Linked DNA regions of Arabidopsis thaliana. The protein of the gene in region 1 interacts with the protein of each later gene in a biochemical or structural test. Each region holds a gene or a part of one and is shown in the gene's direction. Other genes may lie near its edges.

Evidence for each region. Proteins that work in one complex are often made in the same cells at the same time.
Region 2: the proteins of RALF1 (region 1) and FER form a complex in vitro, tested with the Arabidopsis thaliana proteins (one study listed by BioGRID).

The regions. Positions count from the first base shown.
Region 1 is NC_003070.9:652,510-656,573, reverse strand, and holds RALF1 (rapid alkalinization factor 1), read left to right. Parts: upstream 1-2,116; 5' UTR 2,117-2,235; coding exon 2,236-2,598; 3' UTR 2,599-2,970; downstream 2,971-4,064. Other genes in the region: LPA1 (tetratricopeptide repeat (TPR)-containing protein), read left to right, coding at 69-257, 340-440, 545-641, 751-825. UniProt on the Arabidopsis thaliana protein: Cell signaling peptide that may regulate plant stress, growth, and development.
Region 2 is NC_003074.8:19,116,743-19,123,468, reverse strand, and holds FER (Malectin/receptor-like protein kinase family protein), read left to right. Parts: upstream 1-2,519; 5' UTR 2,520-2,689; intron 2,690-2,864; 5' UTR 2,865-2,904; coding exon 2,905-5,592; 3' UTR 5,593-5,885; downstream 5,886-6,726. Other genes in the region: AT3G51560 (Disease resistance protein (TIR-NBS-LRR class) family), read left to right, coding at 1-954, 1,041-1,661; AT3G51540 (mucin-5AC-like protein), read right to left, coding at 6,259-6,597. UniProt on the Arabidopsis thaliana protein: Receptor-like protein kinase that mediates the female control of male gamete delivery during fertilization, including growth cessation of compatible pollen tubes ensuring a reproductive isolation barriers, by regulating MLO7 subcellular polarization upon pollen tube perception in the female gametophyte synergids.

The DNA.
Region 1 (4,064 bases):
CTACTTTTTACTGCCTGGAGTGTGAATTAGCCTTTGAGTTTCTGAGTAGTGATTGACACTGTCGTTAGGTTATTCTAGCTGGGAAAAAAGAGACTGTTACACTTGCGATGCAAAAAGCAGATAGGTTCAGAACCGAGCTCCTAAGACGAGGTGTTCTCTTAGTTCCTGTGGTATGGGGTGAACGCAAAACACCGGAAATCGAGAAAAAAGGTTTTGGAGCTTCTTCAAAGGCAGCTACATCTCTTCCTTCAATTGGGGTAACGAAAAGATTCTGTCTTTGAAAAAAACAAACAAAATATTCTCATTTTGCAAAACAGTGATGTTCTCTTAACTTGATAGGAAGATTTTGATACACGGGCTCAATCGGTTGTAGCCCAATCGAAGCTGAAAGGTGAAATCAGGTTCAAGGCCGAGACTGTTTCGCCTGGTGAATGGGAAAGGTCGAAACTTTCATTGCCATTTGTTGCTGATCAAAGTTTGATAGAAGAAAGATGGCAACTTTGTTGTTGAGTCTTAAAGATGTCTCTGGTTTTGTTTGTTTCAGGTGGATAAGAGATCAACAGATATCTGAAGGAGTTAACCCGGGCGATGATGTGTACATCATACTGCGGTTAGATGGTCGAGTCCGCAGATCGGGTAGAGTAAGTTTCATCTAGAAACCTTTTCCTCTCTTGCTTTCTCGTGTTTGATATCTACTTATTGGTTTTTGAGGAGGTTTTGTGGTAAGTAATAAAAACTCTGTTTTTTCAGGGGATGCCGGATTGGGCTGAGATATCGAAGGAGTTACCGCCAATGGATGACGTTCTCAGCAAGTTAGAAAGATGAAACTGTGAAGCTTTCTTAATTCTTACATATTGTATCTTCGTAAAACCTTAGAATTGAGTAGAGAGAACTCATGGGAGAAGAAAAGGTCTGTATTGTTTGTTTGTGTTCAGAAGTCCATGAAATTGATATTTGTGTATGTGAACACAGTTTTTGCATTGTCAAAAGAAAATATTTCTATTAATTTTTATGTGTCTTACATACCAATTATCTTTTTATGATATCCAAGATCTCGATTTACTTAGATTGGTTTGCTATGTACTCTATTAATGTCGTCATGTTTTTATGAGACGACTCATCCGTGGTTCTAAACAATACGAAGGCCGGTGAGAGTGAGAAACGCGTTTTGATTCGGTGAGACTAAGAAAATTAGGGTTCGCTTTTTAGAAGTATCTATTATTTAAAACATGATTTTCGATTATTGTAGTTAAGGAAGGATTAGGTTTTATTTTCTTTGTTTTATTGGGATAACGATGGCCCAACTCTTTTCAATTTTTCATGGTCGTTGGAAGAGAAGATGAAGCATAGCTTTTCGTTGTTTCAGAATATGTATTTAATTAAAAAATTGAACTATGATAATATATTTTTGAGTATTTGTTATTCAGTAGTTTAAAAGTTGGTACCAAACGTAATTTGCAATGACTAATATTGATCTCGGTCGATGCCAACGATCATTGTTTACTAATAAATGAAAGTACCAAAATTCAGATATCGAAATCCATAAAATGACTTTTAAAATACCTTACAGAAAAGTGATTAAAAACTTACTATATCCTAGATTAAGGAACAAGTCAATTATAAATTCATAATGTCATCTAGATTCAGTGCTTTCAGATCATAAAACATGATAGTGTTGATTTTAAAAATTCAAATGGATAATGAGAAAAGGCTTGACCCCTCCAATATTCCAAATCGTTTTGGTTCAATTTCTGTCGGCTCTAACAAATATTCAACCACTCCCAACAATTCTCCAATTAATAATAATTAACTAATTTGCATAATCATTTTTTTTCATTTCACTGTCAAGTGGCATTTCTGTTAATACCGAAATAACACAAGTAAAATTTCGAAACTATAATGTAAGTTCAAAAAATTCTATTGTAACTACAGAAATCAAAAATTCTAAACAGAAGCTCGTTAAATTTTCAAAATTTTAATATAACAAAGAGAAAATGTTACTAGTATTCGAATCAACAAGTTATTGTCATGCTATGTCTCATATTCTTCTAAATAAATACTGAAACTTTTAATAAAAACACAAAATAGAATTTGAAAAACAAAACAAAAAAAGAGAAAAAAAAATCTTCAACAACTACAAAATTAAAAAATCGAGTCCACGCACTCACCATGTATATATAAACATTAACTTAAGCAATAATAACCAAACAAAAGAACCCAAAGAAAGGCAAGAAAATGGACAAGTCCTTTACTCTGTTCTTAACTCTTACGATTCTCGTCGTCTTCATCATCTCTTCACCTCCGGTCCAAGCCGGCTTCGCCAACGACCTCGGTGGTGTAGCATGGGCTACGACTGGAGACAATGGTTCAGGCTGCCACGGTTCAATAGCAGAGTGTATCGGGGCGGAGGAAGAAGAAATGGACTCAGAGATCAATAGAAGAATATTGGCGACCACAAAATACATAAGCTATCAGTCTTTGAAACGGAACAGTGTGCCTTGTTCAAGAAGAGGTGCGTCTTATTACAATTGTCAGAACGGAGCTCAGGCTAATCCTTATAGTCGTGGTTGCAGCAAAATTGCTCGTTGCAGGAGTTAGACCTACAAACAAGAAAGCTATCTTCTTGATCTTGACTTATGTTTTCTTTGATCCATCAAGCGTTTTCATTTTAATTAAATCTTTAAATATTCATCATGTCTCTGCACAATAGTAAAGACCTATGTTTTGATCAAATTGGGTTGATTTGTAATATTTTATGTGAATAATCATGGTCTTAATGATCCATGAAGTTGTTTGGTTTTTAATTATTACAAAGAGACGAGTATTCAAAGAGTTATTACCTACGTTTGATCAAACCGGGTTTGGTTTGTACCTCAGCCGCTTTCACAGTCGGATTGAATAACCGGTCTCAAGTTGCAACACACAAGTGACCAACTCTCAACCTAACCCTTACCAACTCTCGGCGCGTTTACGGGAATTAGTTTGTTTTGAAAATTAATATTTTATATATATTGGTCGATTTGAACCAAACCGGATCGTAAGAAATTGGTTTTATCCATGATACCACTTTTTCTCTTCGAAGGGTTTGAGAAACTGAAACATGGGCTTGGAAACATAGAAGGAAATTCACTACAAAACAAAACATACTTGAATTAGTAACAAAAAGCGTGAAACATGCAGACATTATTATAACAAACTAACATTTTTGGTTCTTGTCTAATCAATTAGGGGTTGTCTCAATAAAACATGTCGCCCATCAGCTTGACAACATGGTTCTAACACGGTTTCTTTTAGGTTAAATTGGCCAAGTTGCTAATCAGGAGAACACTATCTTAATAATTAAATCAAGTAGTTGAACCATCCGTAACAACATCAATTTTATAAATCATTTTCATGTAATTTGCAAAATTTTATAGTTAAAACTTAAAAACGTTCCATCGTTGAAAGAAAATAGAGGTACTACAAATAACAATAATATAGGTAGAAGATCCATGATAATGGATTTTTGATTTTTTTTGGTTTGTTAAAAGGTATTCATTAATCATGGCAAAAATTCGCAACATGTTTGCTTGCATACGCTAGAAAAGAAAGAACATGATGAGTTACAATTTTTTTTAATCTTCTCCCTAGCTATCCCAAATATCCGAAAATAAAGAAGAAGATAATATTCAGGATTGAGTTTCTCTTTTTATAAACAATAGAAAACATCTTCTTCTTTGGTTGATCCTTATCCCAAAAAATGATTGGCCACAAAATTTTGAAATATTTTCTTATACATTTTCCATTCCACCATTAAATGTCTCGTCTTTCTCTTTTTCCCTCTTTCAATAAGTGATGGATTTGAACCAACCGACTTAAAATGGGCCGGTCTTAAAGCCGCACCACACTAATGGGCCTTTACCTATTTACAATTTTTCTGTCTATTGAACAGTAGACTTACTGCTCATATAATTGGCGGGATCAATACACGTGCTTAATACTAGAACATTCGGTTCGTTCCTAACTGCAAACGAGTTTGGTAATTTAGTTACCCCATAATTATCACCACAGTTGACCTTAGTTTT
Region 2 (6,726 bases), on another chromosome or scaffold:
ATTCAGGGTATACCAAAAAACCTAAGAAAGTTATATCTTGGTGGTACAGCCATAAAAGAACTGCCTTCGCTCATGCATCTTTCTGAACTGGTTGTATTAGATTTGGAGAACTGCAAACGCCTTCACAAGTTACCAATGGGAATAGGTAACTTGAGTTCTCTTGCGGTGTTAAATCTCTCTGGATGCTCAGAACTTGAGGATATTCAAGGTATCCCAAGAAACTTGGAAGAGTTATATCTTGCTGGCACCGCTATACAGGAAGTGACATCGTTAATCAAGCATCTCTCAGAACTTGTAGTTTTAGATTTACAGAATTGCAAAAGGCTTCAACATCTTCCAATGGAGATTAGTAACTTAAAATCTCTTGTCACACTTAAGCTAACGGATCCATCTGGGATGTCCATAAGAGAAGTATCAACATCAATTATCCAGAATGGTATATCAGAAATTGGCATCAGTAATTTGAATTATCTTCTCTTGACTTTCAATGAGAATGCAGAGCAGCGTAGAGAATATTTGCCTCGACCAAGGCTGCCATCTTCAAGTTTACATGGCTTGGTCCCAAGATTTTATGCCCTAGTATCTTTATCCCTCTTCAATGCATCCTTGATGCATATACCGGAAGAGATTTGTTCCTTGCCTTCAGTAGTGCTGTTGGATCTTGGTCGGAATGGTTTCAGCAAAATCCCTGAAAGCATAAAGCAGTTATCTAAACTACATAGCCTTAGATTAAGACATTGTAGAAACCTCATATTGCTTCCGGCGCTTCCCCAAAGCCTGAAACTGTTGAACGTGCATGGTTGTGTGTCTCTAGAGTCAGTTTCTTGGGGATTTGAGCAGTTTCCTAGTCATTACACCTTCAGCGATTGCTTCAATAAGTCTCCAAAAGTGGCTAGAAAACGAGTTGTAAAAGGCCTGGCTAAAGTAGCAAGCATTGGCAACGAACATCAGCAGGTAACTCTCTCGTTCTCATGTCCCTTCTTTCTCACTCATACATACTTTAGCGTATATGTAATTTTCCTTTTTCTTGTTGGGACCAGGAACTCATCAAAGCACTTGCATTCAGCATTTGCGGGCCTGCAGGAGCAGATCAGGCAACCTCTTATAATTTGCGGGCAGGTTCATTTGCAACGATAGAGATAACTCCTTCCCTGCGAAAGACACTCTTGGGGTTTGCTATCTTCGTTGTAGTATCGTTTTCGGATGATAGTCACAACAACGCTGGGCTTGGCGTTAGGTGCGTAAGCAGATGGAAGACAAAGAAAAGGGTGGTCACTGGTAAAGCAGAGAAAGTGTTTAGGTGTTGGGCTCCGAGAGAAGCTCCTGAGGTTCAAAGGGATCACATGTTTGTGTTTTATGAGGATGCCGAAATGCATCGAGGTGGTGGTGAGGGAAACAAACCAAATATAATGGCTGATCACGTTGAATTTGAATTCCAAGCAGTAAATGGAAGAAACAAGGTCTTAGGCGGTAATTGCATGGTGACAGAATGTGATGTTTGTGTTATAACAGCTGCAACTGGTGCGGCGAGTCTGAGTGTAACAAATGCAAGTAAGGATATGAGTTTAAGTAAGAATCATTCTCCGAAGCTTTCAAGTGTGATTGGTAAGCTTCGATTTAAGCGAGTTGGTAGGTTTGGTGGTTGTGTTTGCCTAGAGTGAAGAAAAGTTAAGAGTGGGAACTGGGAAGAGTGTATGTATGTGACTCGTCTCATGCGTGCCCAAATGCGAAGTAGCAGAAACATGTATGTTTGAAATGTAATTTTTATTATTTAAAATTGGCATAAACAAAAAAAAATGTGTTGTCTGAAAGAGAATTAATGATATGTTAATGTAAATATTTAGTGCATGTTTGATGTAATGGTTTAAAGTTTTATTTTATTTTGAAAGACTGAGAAAACAAGGATCACAAACTCTGTTTTGAATCAAGAAGGTGTAGACCAAAAAAATTGCACACGTTCGGCCTTAACCACGGTTTATTTGTATTCAAGGTTACTTGGATTTGACATCGGAGATCAAGGTTACTCCTTACCTTAGACATGATCGATCAAAAGGAGGCTACGCCGATTGTCATAAACATATATCATGTGCACGTTAGATAAGGCCCACTTATAACTGGGCCATAGGAGATAAACTGAAATCAGAGTAAAAAGCCCATGATTACGTAAACTATCCTAACTAACTAACGAGTTATTATCAAAGCAGGCCCCATTCTTTCCCTTTATAGTATAATATAGAGTACCAGCTCAGCCACGAGCAGTCACCACCGCACACAAAAATACGCGTTTCATAAAATTCTCTTGTCTTTTCTTTAGTTTAATGGATTTACTCTCTCACATTTTATGAACTGTCATCCAAACCATACCAATCAACATTATCCTTCGAATGGTCAAGACATATATAATTCCAGCTGTTGATACTCAAAGGTCATTATCGTCACTTCACCCACCTTCAAGCCGGCTTCAATTAATTAAACCCGATAACTATATCTTAATTTAATCTTATTGAAATTAAAATAACGTTAACGCGTAGAGGGAAGCAACAATGCTTGTCCGTTTTGTCGTCGTCTTGACTATACTTACCTCTCCACTCATTAATTGATTTTCTCTCTCTCTCCCCCAAAATATCTCTGTCTTCTCCAAAAACTCTCTCCGATTTCATCGCTTAGGGTTTCTTCCCCGATTCTTCAGGTATGTAATCATCATCATCATCTTCCTCACTTCACTCTCCCTTACTACTGTATTCAAACTTCAATTTCATCTGTTTCTTAAGCTCAATTTTCGTAACCAAACGAACATGTACCTCTAGCACTTTCCATTTTTAGATCTGTGAAGTTTATAGTTTCGATTTTCTTTCGTTTGATAGATCTGAGAAGAAGATCTTCCCGGAGAAGTGCTCTTGATCGATGAAGATCACAGAGGGACGATTCCGTCTCTCTCTTCTTCTTCTTCTTCTTCTCATATCTGCAGCAACTTTAATCTCAGCTGCTGATTACTCTCCAACAGAGAAAATCCTATTGAATTGCGGTGGTGGTGCTTCTAATCTAACCGACACAGATAACCGTATATGGATCTCCGATGTCAAATCAAAATTCTTATCATCTTCCTCTGAAGACTCTAAAACATCACCAGCGTTAACACAAGATCCTTCCGTTCCCGAAGTTCCTTACATGACGGCGAGAGTTTTCCGATCTCCTTTCACTTACACTTTCCCTGTAGCATCAGGTCGTAAATTCGTGCGTCTCTACTTCTACCCAAACTCGTACGACGGTCTCAACGCTACCAACTCGTTATTCTCCGTCTCCTTTGGTCCTTACACTCTTCTCAAGAATTTCAGTGCTTCTCAGACGGCGGAGGCGTTGACTTACGCTTTCATCATCAAGGAGTTTGTTGTCAACGTTGAAGGTGGAACGTTGAACATGACGTTTACACCGGAATCAGCTCCGTCTAATGCGTATGCGTTTGTTAATGGGATTGAGGTTACTTCAATGCCTGATATGTATAGTAGTACTGATGGGACTTTGACTATGGTTGGATCATCTGGCTCTGTTACTATTGATAACAGTACTGCTCTTGAGAATGTGTATAGGCTCAATGTTGGAGGGAATGATATCTCGCCTTCCGCGGATACGGGTTTGTATAGGTCGTGGTATGATGATCAGCCTTATATATTTGGTGCAGGACTTGGTATTCCAGAGACTGCTGATCCCAACATGACGATTAAGTATCCTACGGGGACTCCTACTTATGTTGCTCCTGTGGATGTTTATTCAACCGCGAGGTCTATGGGTCCAACAGCTCAGATCAATCTCAACTACAATCTTACTTGGATTTTCAGCATTGACTCTGGTTTCACTTACCTTGTTAGACTTCATTTCTGTGAGGTTTCTTCGAATATCACTAAGATCAACCAACGGGTGTTTACAATCTACCTCAACAATCAAACTGCTGAGCCTGAAGCTGATGTGATTGCTTGGACTAGTTCAAACGGGGTTCCGTTTCACAAGGATTACGTGGTGAATCCTCCAGAGGGAAATGGACAGCAAGATTTGTGGCTTGCTCTTCATCCTAACCCAGTTAACAAGCCGGAGTATTATGATTCTCTTCTTAATGGAGTGGAGATATTCAAGATGAATACTTCTGATGGTAATCTGGCTGGTACCAATCCTATACCTGGTCCACAGGTGACTGCTGATCCATCTAAAGTCCTACGCCCGACTACTAGGAAATCGAAAAGCAATACGGCTATTATTGCAGGCGCAGCCAGTGGTGCAGTTGTTCTGGCCCTTATCATTGGGTTTTGTGTGTTTGGTGCTTACCGCAGACGTAAGCGTGGTGATTACCAGCCTGCTAGTGATGCAACATCAGGGTGGCTTCCACTATCTCTGTATGGAAACTCACATTCTGCTGGCTCGGCGAAGACAAACACAACAGGAAGTTATGCCTCGTCCCTTCCGTCAAATCTTTGCCGTCACTTCTCGTTTGCTGAGATCAAAGCTGCCACTAAAAACTTTGATGAGTCCCGGGTGCTTGGTGTTGGTGGTTTCGGCAAGGTTTACAGAGGAGAGATTGATGGCGGAACTACAAAGGTAGCCATCAAGAGAGGCAACCCAATGTCCGAGCAAGGTGTACATGAGTTCCAGACTGAGATTGAAATGCTTTCAAAGCTTAGACATCGTCATCTTGTGTCCTTGATTGGATACTGTGAAGAGAACTGCGAAATGATCTTAGTCTATGATTACATGGCTCATGGTACAATGAGGGAGCATCTCTACAAAACCCAGAATCCTTCTCTTCCATGGAAGCAACGTCTTGAGATATGCATTGGAGCAGCCCGAGGTTTACACTATCTACACACTGGTGCAAAACACACAATCATCCATAGAGATGTGAAGACAACAAACATTCTATTGGATGAGAAATGGGTGGCCAAGGTCTCTGATTTTGGTCTATCGAAGACTGGTCCTACACTAGACCACACACACGTAAGCACAGTTGTGAAAGGAAGTTTCGGTTATCTTGACCCAGAGTATTTCAGACGGCAGCAACTGACTGAGAAATCCGATGTCTACTCCTTTGGCGTTGTTCTATTCGAAGCTCTATGCGCTCGTCCAGCCTTGAACCCAACACTTGCAAAGGAACAAGTGAGCTTAGCTGAGTGGGCACCATACTGCTACAAGAAAGGCATGCTAGATCAAATCGTTGATCCCTACCTCAAGGGCAAGATCACACCAGAATGCTTCAAAAAGTTTGCTGAAACCGCGATGAAGTGTGTTCTAGACCAGGGCATTGAGAGACCATCAATGGGAGATGTTCTGTGGAACTTAGAATTTGCGTTGCAGCTCCAGGAAAGCGCAGAAGAGAACGGAAAAGGAGTATGCGGTGACATGGACATGGATGAGATTAAGTACGATGATGGAAACTGTAAAGGAAAGAACGACAAGAGTTCTGATGTGTATGAAGGGAATGTGACGGACTCGAGGAGCAGTGGAATAGATATGAGCATCGGTGGTAGGAGTTTGGCCAGCGAAGATTCAGATGGACTCACTCCAAGTGCTGTGTTTTCTCAGATCATGAATCCAAAGGGACGTTAGAGAAGTCTTATAACACGGTACAACACTACTACCTTTCTAAACCGGCTCCATCCAAAGGAGACCGGTTCGTTTCTCTTTTTTATATTTTTTTTCCTCTTAACTATTTATTATTATTCTCTTTGCTGTTATTTATTTAGAATTTTGGATTTGTGTATTTGATGCCACGATGGAGAGTGTAAAAAATAATGTATTTTTTTTTCTTCTTTCTACAAAAACATTAAACATGAATCGCGTCAATGTACTATTTGGTTTGTTATCTATAACGTTTTTGGTAATTGTTGCATCTTTACTCTATTACACGTCGTACTCTTATGAACAAACTAGTACCCATTTATTACAAAGTCGTACTCTTATGAACATAAACGGAAGTACATCAATCACTTCTCTGTTTTACTATATAGACGCATTTTAACGGAATCCTACCAATAGTGTCTTTTCTTGCAAATATTTTGATTTAAACAAGAAGGGTCAAAGTTGTATATTTCTGCTGATCAATACAAACAAACACTTTGAAAGAAAAAAACAACGAGTAGAAGAACTATGTGTAATGTTTTTCTCTTGATTGCATAAGAATTTAAAAAGAGTGAAACAGGATTATTTTTCCAAGCAGCTCTCTTGTTTTTAACTACAACAAACAGGAAAGAAAACTCAAAAGGAGTCAGAGTCTCAGAGAGGAGAGAATAGATCAGGAGGAGAGTCAAAAGCATTGTCGAAGATGAGAGATTGAGGAGATTCATCATCAATGTTAAGTAGCCAGTTTGTATCCTTGACATCTTTAACATTCAAGAGTGCGTCGTAACGAGCACTATCGTTCTTGTTCTCTGTGTTGTTCCCTTCTTTCGTTAAGCTTCTTCCATCTTCCTCTTCATGGTTGCTGCTGCTGCAGCTGCCTTCACTACTACCACACGGTTTTCTTAGACCCGAAGAAGAAGATCTGATGCTGTGTGGATACAACATTGGGCTTGAAAACGTATGTGTACTAACTTTACCATTTCGTGCCAAGTCCTGCATTTGAAGTGACACTATTATCGTCAAGCAAAACCTCATAAAAAACGTTACTATACTATTGACCACGATAAACGTTATAAATGACAAAAATATTTAGCTATAATCAAATAATGACAAGAGAACGTT